Linked DNA regions of Saccharomyces cerevisiae S288C. The protein of the gene in region 3 purifies or fractionates together with the protein of the main gene of each other region. This does not show direct contact. Each region holds a gene or a part of one and is shown on either strand. Other genes may lie near its edges.

Region 1 (2,886 bases), on a different chromosome or scaffold from region 3:
ACTATTCGCATGCATCTCTATTGTCCACCTCGGTGTACATTGTCAATAACAAAATCGTTTCTTTACAATGGTCCAAAATATCCGCATGTCAGGAAAATCACCCAGGATTAATTGAGTGCATTCAATCAAAAATTCACTTTATCCCTAATATCAAACCACAAACTGATATTTCGTTAGGAGATTGTTCCTATTTGGATACCTGTCATAAATTAAATACGTGTCGATACATTCATTACCTGCAATATATTCCGTCATGCTTGCAAGAGCGAGCTGATCGTGAAACTGCGAGTGAAAATAAAAGAATACGGTCAAACGTTTCCATTCCATTTTATACTCTGGGCAATTGCTCCGCACATTGTATCAAAAAGGCTTTACCTGCACAGTGGATCCGTTGCGATGTGCGGAAATTTGATTTTAGGGTTCTTGGAAAGTTTTCGGTAGTTATTGCAGATCCTGCATGGAATATCCATATGAACCTACCATACGGTACTTGCAACGATATTGAACTATTAGGTTTGCCTTTGCACGAACTACAAGATGAAGGTATTATTTTTCTTTGGGTGACGGGTAGAGCTATAGAATTGGGTAAAGAGTCTTTGAATAACTGGGGTTACAACGTGATAAATGAAGTTTCATGGATAAAGACAAACCAACTGGGTAGAACAATTGTTACAGGTCGTACGGGTCATTGGTTAAATCATTCTAAGGAGCATTTATTGGTGGGCTTAAAGGGTAATCCAAAGTGGATCAACAAACATATTGACGTCGATTTGATCGTATCAATGACCAGAGAGACTAGTAGAAAGCCTGATGAACTGTATGGTATAGCAGAACGGTTGGCAGGCACCCATGCCAGAAAACTAGAGATATTCGGAAGGGATCACAATACGCGGCCTGGCTGGTTTACCATCGGAAACCAGTTGACAGGAAATTGCATTTACGAAATGGATGTCGAGAGGAAGTACCAGGAGTTTATGAAGAGCAAAACTGGAACCAGCCACACTGGTACTAAAAAAATCGACAAAAAGCAACCTTCAAAATTACAGCAGCAGCATCAGCAGCAGTATTGGAATAATATGGATATGGGGAGTGGTAAGTATTATGCTGAGGCCAAGCAGAATCCTATGAATCAAAAACATACTCCCTTTGAATCCAAACAGCAACAAAAACAACAATTCCAAACACTAAATAACCTATATTTTGCTCAGTAAAGCGTTAAATAATCCTTTTAAACATTAATAGCATTGCATAAAAAAGATGGTCATAAAAAAGACTGCAGCGGGAAGTAAATGGTTTCCTGGTCTGTATTAGACAAACTTTGGAATAGAGAAGGATATGGTTTATGTCCAATAATTATTATCCGAGTCCGTGTATTTTTTTACATCAACTGGAACAATTTATTACCCGGATGTTTAAAAATTGTTGTCGCCTGGAGAAAGCTAATACTAGTTCTGGCCATATTTTCAACCATTAAACACTACTAATGTAATTACTTGACTTATTTGCTCCCACTCTTGGTCGGTTCTTTCCCATGGCGCATTCTACCATTCTTTTTTTCTACTCCAATCGTTCTTACTGGAAACTGTGGGAATAGCGAAGAACGACTATTATTTGCTAATACAGAGTAAGCTATCCTGCTGAATAGGTAGACGATAGTAGTAACCCAACGCCGCTATCCTTTCGATTATACCGCTATGAATGTAGTGATATGGTGCGGTATTGACACAATATAGTAATTTCGGGTAATTTTTTTTCCCACCAATGAGAGGCGGTACTGGGAGTATCGGTCTAAGAGAATCGAAAAATAACCCCCAGCTGGGATGTGATCACGATGAGTGACGGGATACATTAAATATAACAAACATACACGTTGCCTTGAACGTTTTCACTACACATCGCATGTGTTTTATCTAGATTTAAAATCATATTACTACAGTTCTACAGTTATACAAATAACAAACAATAGAAAAATGTTTAGACAGTGTGCTAAGAGATATGCATCTTCATTACCCCCAAATGCTTTGAAACCTGCATTTGGCCCACCAGATAAAGTGGCAGCTCAAAAATTTAAAGAATCATTAATGGCCACTGAAAAGCATGCGAAGGACACATCTAATATGTGGGTTAAAATCTCAGTTTGGGTCGCCCTACCAGCAATTGCTTTAACAGCTGTGAACACATACTTTGTTGAAAAGGAGCATGCTGAGCATCGTGAACATTTGAAACATGTGCCAGACTCCGAATGGCCAAGGGATTACGAGTTTATGAATATCAGGTCTAAGCCTTTTTTCTGGGGTGACGGTGATAAGACATTATTCTGGAATCCTGTTGTCAACAGGCACATCGAGCACGACGATTAATTAATTGATTAAGTGAGAATAAACTTTTCGAAAAATTTTTATTTATGATAATTTTACTAATTCTTACTTATTTCTTTTATATTCGATAAAAAAAATTCAAAATAAAAAAAGATTAATCCTTTGATAGGAACTAAAGGTACTAGGTATTTTGGGCGGCGAAGCATCATTCCGTTCTTAAACATCTATATATATATAATTATATTGCAAATGTATAAGCATTTAAAAACATAAACATGCACCTATGAAGAAGAATTTAAGACGTTTTATTTTTATGTTCCACGCGTTTTGGTGAAGTGATGAAAGAAGTCCTGATAAAGGGATGTCGGATTAATAATTGATACAGTGTTTATAAGATAGCTAATCAGAAAAAAAACGAAAGAAAATGGTATAAGTCTCAGAATAATGATAATAAAACACGCTTGAAGTAGAATAAAAATATAAGTAGAGAAGATAAAATAAAAAAATAAAGATAGAAAGATTTTCAATGAGGGGCAAATCTAAATCTAAAAAATTTGAATTCAAGTTC
Region 2 (3,132 bases), on a different chromosome or scaffold from region 3:
GGTTCCGGCTCCCGTGGCCGGGCCCCGGAACTATATAATATTTAATAATAATCAAATAAAAAATATTTTTTATAAAATAATATTAATAATATATATATATATATGAATTTATATATTAGTTAAATTAATAATATTTATATTATATTATATCATATTAAAAAAGTCCCGCTGGAGGTGAGGCGGTGACCTCGAAGGAATATAAAAATATAAATAATTACATTATTATATTATATTATATTAATATTATATTTTTTTTTTTATAAATATTAAATAAATTTATTAATTATCTTTATAAAAGGTAAATGAAAAAAGAGTATAATGATTATATTATTATTAGTTCCCGCTTCGCGGGAACCCCGTTAGGAGTTTTGAAGGAATAATATATAATAATTATATTTGTAAGAATATTATTATAATAATATAAAATATATATATATAAATTATAATATATTAATTATTGTTAATTATTAATAATATATATATTAATCATTTAGATATATAATTCTATAGCCTTAGACTCCTCATCAGTAGAAGACTACGTATAAAAATAATCAGATAACATCTAAAACATGTAGATAAATAATAGTTGTTTCATATCCAACATGATGTCCAGCTGTTAAATGATAATTTCTCATTCTTCAATAATTAACACCTAACATAGCTGCTAACATTACCATATGTAAGAAATGTAATCCTGTACCAGCATAGAATACTGAACCATAAACACCATCAGAGATAGTGAATGCAGCATTAGTATATTCAATATATTGACAAGTAACAAAAATAACAATTAATCAGAATGTAATTAATAAACCTGATAAGGCTTTATTTCTATTACCTGCGATTAAGGCATGATGACTATAAGTTACAGTAGCACCAGAAGATAATAAGATAATAGTATTTAATAAAGGTAATTCGGTAGGTTGTACAGCTTCAATACCTACGGGTGGTCAACATGCACCTAATAGTACATCAGGACTCATAGCTGAATGGAAATAAGCTCAGAATAAACCAGCAAAGATTAATACTTCAGATAATACAAACATTAAGAAACCTAAATTAATACCTTTTCTTACTGCTATAGTATGATCACCTAAATATGTAGCTTCAGCTACAATATCTCTAAATCATAAAATAGAACTTGTTAATAATACAAATAATGCTAAATATACCATATTCATATTACCAATATAACCATGCATTGTTAATGCTAGTGATAATGCTAATGATAATAATGCAAATGATACTACAATAGGTCATGGTGAAGGCATAACCATATGAAATGGATGTTGTTGATGTCTACTTCTTTCTAAATGTGTCATAAATTTATTGTTATATATATATTATATATATAATATAATTAAATAAATAAATAAAAAAAATATTAATAAAATATTATCCCTTAAACTATATAATAAAATTAAATAATAATATTAATTTAATAAATCTTTTATTTAATAATAATATAAATTATATTAAATATTTATAATAATATATTATTTATAAAATTATAAAATAAATTTATATATAATTCAATATATATATATTAATTTATATATTTAAATTAAATATAATTAAATAAATAATATAATCGAATTAATATCTCTTTCGACCGGATTATTTATTCAATTATTAATAATATAAATAATTAATTTGTATTGAATATAATTTATTTAAATATTTTATTATTATTATTATTATTATTATTAATTTATTAATATTAAAGGAAATATATTTATTATATTATATTATATATATTTTTTATTATTTATATTTATTATTAATATAAATCATTGATAATATCTTCTTTTTATTTATTTATTATTATAATTAAAAAAGAATCTTATATTAATTAATATTATTTATTTTTTTTTTATTTAATAAATAAATATTATTATATTAAGATAGATATAATATTATATCTAGATTTAGGAAATATAGGGTTCGAACCTATAATCTTTCGTGTGTAAAACGAATGCTATACCAATTAAGCTAATCTCCTTTATAAAATATATACTCCACAGATATATATCCAAAACTCTTATTAATTATTATAATTATTATTTTATTTATTTATATATATATAATTATAATAATTCATATAATTATTATAATCTTATAAATATTCCTATTGAAAATTATACTTTATAATTAAATTTATTAATAATTATTTAATTTAATATATAAAATATTTATTTATATATATATTTATATATATATATATATTTTTATAAGTAGTATATTATATTTTATATATAATAATATTTATAATATATATATTATAAATTATATATAATATATTATATATTTATTTAATAATTTTTATATAATTAATATATTATATATTTAATAAATTTTATATAATTAATAAGGTAAATATAATTTAATGGTAAAATGTATGTTTTTAGGTGCATATTATCTAAGTTCAAATCTTAGTATTTACAAAATAAAAAATTAATATAAATTTATTATAATCATTTATAAATTTATTATAATATTATTATTATATTTATTTATTATTAATAATTATTTATTATTTATTATATAATATTTTTATAATTATATATTAAATATATATAAATTTTATTATAATAAAACTCCTTCTTAAATAGGGGTTCGGTTCCCATGGGGTCCCTCACTCCTTACGGGGTTCCCGCAAAGCGGGAACTAATAATAATATATATTTTTATATATATATTAATATATATATATATTTATAACTCCTTTATTGATATTTATTCTTATTTAGAATATTTTTAATTAAATAATATAATTAAATGAATACCAAACTTATATTATATTTATATTTATATTTATATTTCTCCTACCGGGGTTCCGGCTCCCGTGGCCGGGCCCCGGAACTAAATATATAAACTTTTTTTTATAATATTATATTTATTAAAATATTAATAAATAAATAAATAAGAGATATAATATATATTTTCTTTGTATTAAATATATTATATATATATATATTAATTATTATAATATATTTATTATAAATTAATTATTAATTAATATATTATTATTATTGCCCTTAATGAGAATCGAACTACATGTAAATAAATCTTCAATTTATCGCTTTACCACTAAGCTATAAAAGCTATATATAATATAATACTTATTATTACT
Region 3 (2,671 bases):
AATAATACTATCAGCGGTTCGAATAGAATAACACACAACTTGAGCTCACACGTAAGAAGCAGTGGTCTTGCCTTTTCATCTTCATCGAACTCATTGCAACAAAGTAAACTGCCGAAATCAAATATACTAAAGCGGTCCAATTCAACTCAGCAACTGACTAATACACATTTGAAGAGTGATAATCATCTGCCACCTCGCTCAAGTAATACTGTGTTGGGTAGTAGCAAGAAAAACAATAAGTTTAGAAGGATTAGGTAAATAGGTGTAAGGATTCCCCGTGACGAAAACAGCCTTCAGAATAGATAGAGTATGTTACTGTATTATAAAAGTTATTCTATTTTCTTATGTGTTACTATATATGGTATTATTTTAGAAGAAATTTGTCGAATTATGTTCTTCTTAGATCCTTCTTTCCCGCCGTCTCAATACGAAGGCACAAGGAGAGGATTATGAATATATGAAAAGAAAATTGTACAAATAAATAAAACGATGATATGCGCACCTAGGAATAGCAAAGAACACACTCTAAAACGTCTCAACCAAGCACGCTATGTACACACATCTATCCTTCAAACTTATGGGGGTGTTTTAAAAAGCACCTGACTTTTTCAATTGAACATAGCAGGCAACAAATGGAACAGCAAATCCAATAGCGAAGAACCCGAAATGAGATAAGGCGTAAGGTGTCTTTCTTCCTTTGACTTTGAATGGGATATTTTCATACACACCGTCTTTGAAGTGTACTGACCTCTTCATGATAATAGGTCTGGTCATGATATTGCTACTTCTCTTAGCTGTCGTTCTAATCATCTGTTGGCACAACATTGCGTAATGGAAATGGATAACTTTTCTGTTTAGTTTGCTCTGTGGCTCTATCTAGAAAATTAAAGGATACAAAACTAATTAACCATTCTTATAAATCACTAAGCCAGCACAATGGTTTCTACTGCTGTCAGCCTTTATTTTCAATTTTTCTTAGTCCCCTAGCTTTTCCGTAAACACCGAACACTTCTCTCGTATGATTGGTGCAAACCGTTTGGTGAAAAAAAGCACATTTGCATATACAAAAAATTAACAAATCTATCATATAATAATTAAGATATAGAGTTCATGATCCTTGTGCCATTGATCAAGCCATCGGCGATGATGATAAACCTTTTATTGATACCTTTTTTACCTAGTATTTTTTGCAAATGCTTCATTATAGCTATTTCACCCATTGTTACACCTCCGAGGAATACTACGAGTGCAATATCCTCTGCAGCATGAAATGTCCCATTAGATCCGTCTATGGACCGTCTATTATTGCTCTTGATGCTTGCATTGATCTTTTTTGTAATGGTTCCCGGGACCCATATACTCTCTTCGATCGCATGTGAGTCTCCATATAACTGTTCAATTAAATCCTCCGTTTGAGAAACTCTAGGTTCTCTTGACAGTATAAAAGGCTGCTGCGAGGAATAATTATGGAACAAGATAGACCTATCATATAACATCTGAACCAGTCTCATTGTCAAGGGCACTACACCACTGTAAGCAAAAGTGGCTTCCGAGAAGTCATCGTTCTCATTTGTGATTTTATCGGCAGCATGCTCGTCTTCTATGGGTACTGTATTGAACCATTGTGAAATATAACGGTATTCTTTCTGTAATCTTGTTGACTTACTTGTTGTAATATGCAAATCAGTTTTTCCCGTTTTGCTAGTGAAAAATCCTAACTCAGCCAATGATTCAAGTTGAAAGCATTTTTCAATGCCCCAAGAGTCGATCATAAAGGTTCTTAGATATTCATAATCCTTTTCTCGAAGTGAATTTTTACAAAGAGACAATAAACAGATTAATCTGAGAATCTTCTTTTGATCAACCTCGTACTGGTACTGCAACTCGAGTATAATATCTTCAATGTCGTTATTAAGTGTATTTCCCATCAAAATTTCCAGCTCTAACTCTAAGATTTTATTGAAAGATCCGTACTCTTCAGTCTCTACCACTTTCAAAACGTCGGATGATAAGGTTGTGTGATTTTTCAAAAAAGCTTGCCTTTGTTGCAAAGAACCTAAGGAATCAACGAATTCTTTGATTTCATGTACGCTCTCGGCTTTATGCCTTGTATCATATTGCGTTTGTAGTTCCTTTGCCAATTTATTTAACTGCGGCCCAATCGACCCAAAATTTAAAAATTTCAAATCATTCCATATTTTATCTTCCTTATAATTGAAGTTCATGTCTTTCTCCTTTATCTTTATGCCAGAATTGAATTCATATAGATCATCTAGTATTCCTGCATACGTAAGTTGTGTCAACAATGGCGTTATAGGATCGGTATTCCTTTCCAAGATAATCAAGTCCATTTCTAGTCCACAGTTGGTTCGTTCACCATAAAGCGTACCCTTGATGAATAAATCATTCTCTGTTTGATGCTCATCGATTCGTTTCTTCAAAAGATGGCTACATCTCTTAGACAGATTACCTATCGACACAACATTTGTTATGATACTATTAGTTTCAAAAATCAAGCTCTGCAACGAATTGACCATATCATCAACCAGTATTGACTCTGTGGCACTCTGCAAAGAACGTAAGTTGGGATAATACATGTTTACATTTTCCATGTTATAAAGGGAATGAGTCAATAGAACATTTTCATCAATCTGTGGGAAGGGCAAGAGAT
Region 4 (2,937 bases), on a different chromosome or scaffold from region 3:
AGATATACCATTTAAATTATTAATTATAGCTATTTTTCATTTATAATAACTATAATATTTAATTGTTAAACAAGGATACTTATCAAAAATAGTTACAATATTAGAATATAACCATTTCTTTTGTGAATTTACTAATATAATTGTTTTAAGTAGTTCTTCAAAATTAGAAGGTATATTTAATATATTTCTAATCTTTTCTAAACATGCTTTATCATCAATATGTATTCTAAAACCATAAAAAAATCTTAAATATTTTTTATCATTTAATTTAATATAAAAACTACCATCTCCATCTGTAAATCCTACTAATCATTTATAAAAATTATCTATTTCTAAATTATTCTTATTATTATTTTTATTATCTTTTTGAACAATAATTAATTTATTATTTAAAGAAGTATGATAACCTCTTTTAATAATATTTATATTTTTAATATAAGGTGATTGAATAGAATATAAATCTATATCTTTATTATATTTAAGAATATTATTATAATTATTATTATTATTATTATTTTTAATAATTAAAAATATTAATAATAAGTAAATATTAATTATTGTTCATTTAATCATTCCAAAAATTTAGGTAATGATACTGCTTCGATCTTAATTGGCATATTTGCATGACCTGTCCCACACAACTCAGAACATGCTCCATAGAAGACACCTTCTCTTTGAATTAAAGCAGAAACTTGATTTAATCTACCAGGAGTAGCATCAACTTTAATACCTAAACTTGGAATAGCAAAATCATGAATAACATCAGCAGCTGTTACAACGAATCTAATATGTGTATCTACAGGTACAACTATAGAAGTATCAGTATCTAATAATCTTAATTGACCTTCTTCTAATAATTCATCAGGAATAACATATGATTCAAATTCAACAGTTTCACCACTATCATTAATAAAATCTGAATATTCATATTTTCAATATCATTGATATCCAATAGCTTTAATAGTTATAGCTGGTGAAATAACTTCATCACATAAATATAATAAAATAAATGAAGGAAAAGCAATAATTAATAAAATTACAGCTGGAAAAATTGTTCAAATAACTTCAATAGTTTGTCCATGTTTAATATATTTATATGCAATAGGATTTTTTGAATATGTTATAACAATTGTATATAACATTCAAGATACTAAACCTAAAATAACTAATAAATAAAACATAATATTATCATGTAATTCTAAAATACCTTCTTGATTTGGTGTTGCTGAATCCTGAAAATAACATGCATAAGGTGTTGGTACATCATTCATAATGAATGTTGTTAATTGTAATCTTAATAAATCTAACATTTTAATAAATCTTAACCTTTAGACTCTTTTGTCTATTTATAATATGTTAATACTACTTTTAATTAAAATTTATTTATAATTTATTATTATATATTATAAATTAAAATAAAAAATATTATATTATATTATCAACCCCACCTTTTTTTATTAAAAATAATTAAAATTATATATTATTTTTATAAATAATATATATAATATTATTAATCATATAAATATATATTTTATTAAAAAAAAAAAAATACTAAAACTCCTTCGGTCCTCCTCCCGTTAGGGAGGGGTCCCTCACTCCTTACGGGATTCCCGCTTCCCAAAAACTAATAATATTCATATCATATATATTAATATTTATTAAAATATATAATATTTAGATTATATATAATATATATAATTTTTATTATTATAATATATTAGTGATTACCTTATTTATAAAGGTATGAAGCAAGGAGTTATTATTTATTATTATTATTATTATTATTATTATTAATATAATATATATATAATATATTATTAATTTTTATTTATACTCCTTCGGGGTCCCCGCCGGGGCGGGGACTTATATTTATATTATTAATATAATATATATTTAAAAATAAAATAGTCCGCCCCGCGGAGGGGGGCGGGACCCCGAAGGAGTCCGCCCCCCTTTTTATTTTATTTTATTTAATTTTAAAGAAGAAGAATTATTTATATTTATTTATTTATTTATCTCCTTCGGGGTTCCGGCTCCCGTGGCCGGCCCCCGGAACTGTAATAATATATTAATTTAATTAATATTTTTTATAGATAAATATACATTATATGTTTTTATTAATTAATTATTTATTTATTTATTTATAATATATATTTAAATATTATATTATATATATATATTTAAAAGATAAATTATATTTATAATTATTTAATGAACATCTATTTAATAATAATAAAATAGTCCGGCCCGCCCCCGCGGGGCGGACCCCGAAGGAGTCCGGCCGAAGGAGATGTGAATCCTGCTAGGAGGAGTAATTATTTATTAATATTATTTTAATATATATAAATATTATAATCATTATTACTTGTAGAAGGAATTGAACCTTACATTATTTATTTATGAGACAAATGTTTTAACCAATTAAACTATACAAGCTCCTTAATTATAATTATTATTATAATTAATACAATATTTACTCTTTATTATCAATATTTATACCTTATTTTATAAATATAAATAAAAGATATTAATTATTAAAATATTAATAAATATATTCTTTAATAATTTATAATTATAATATAATAATTATAATAATAATAATTTTTAATAAAAAATAAAATAATTATAAAATTATAATCTTATTATATAAAATATATAATATATTTATAATTATTAATAAAAAAGATAATTATATAATTAAAATTAATATATATATATATATATATATAAAGGTATTATTAATTAATTAAAAATATTAATATATTTGTTAATTAAATAAATAAATAAATATAAATATTATCTAATTATAAATTTATTCTTAGTAATTAATATATATATAATATTATATAATATAATATATATAATATAGGTGTTAGTTTAATAATATTCTTTATTATATATAAATATAAATAAGATATCTTATACTATATATTATAA

What was found.
Region 1: the proteins of COX8 (region 3) and COX13 purify together in Saccharomyces cerevisiae (affinity purification with mass spectrometry; 2 studies listed by BioGRID). This does not show direct contact.
Region 2: the proteins of COX8 (region 3) and COX3 purify together in Saccharomyces cerevisiae (affinity purification with western blotting; 2 studies listed by BioGRID, with this or other methods). This does not show direct contact.
Region 4: the proteins of COX8 (region 3) and COX2 purify together in Saccharomyces cerevisiae (affinity purification with mass spectrometry; 4 studies listed by BioGRID, with this or other methods). This does not show direct contact.

What each region holds. Positions count from the first base shown.
Region 1 is NC_001139.9:142,838-145,723, forward strand, and holds COX13 (cytochrome c oxidase subunit VIa), read left to right. Parts: upstream 1-1,970; coding exon 1,971-2,360; downstream 2,361-2,886. Other genes in the region: IME4 (mRNA (N6-adenosine)-methyltransferase), read left to right, coding at 1-1,211. UniProt on the Saccharomyces cerevisiae protein: Component of the cytochrome c oxidase, the last enzyme in the mitochondrial electron transport chain which drives oxidative phosphorylation.
Region 2 is NC_001224.1:77,403-80,534, reverse strand, and holds COX3 (cytochrome c oxidase subunit 3), read right to left. Parts: upstream 1,323-3,132; coding exon 513-1,322; downstream 1-512. UniProt on the Saccharomyces cerevisiae protein: Component of the cytochrome c oxidase, the last enzyme in the mitochondrial electron transport chain which drives oxidative phosphorylation.
Region 3 is NC_001144.5:909,141-911,811, forward strand, and holds COX8 (cytochrome c oxidase subunit VIII), read right to left. Parts: upstream 826-2,671; coding exon 589-825; downstream 1-588. Other genes in the region: SUMO ligase CST9, read left to right, coding at 1-258; tethering complex ATP-binding subunit VPS33, read right to left, coding at 1,095-2,671. UniProt on the Saccharomyces cerevisiae protein: Component of the cytochrome c oxidase, the last enzyme in the mitochondrial electron transport chain which drives oxidative phosphorylation.
Region 4 is NC_001224.1:72,131-75,067, reverse strand, and holds COX2 (cytochrome c oxidase subunit 2), read right to left. Parts: upstream 1,311-2,937; coding exon 555-1,310; downstream 1-554. Other genes in the region: Q0255 (maturase-like protein), read right to left, coding at 1-573. UniProt on the Saccharomyces cerevisiae protein: Component of the cytochrome c oxidase, the last enzyme in the mitochondrial electron transport chain which drives oxidative phosphorylation.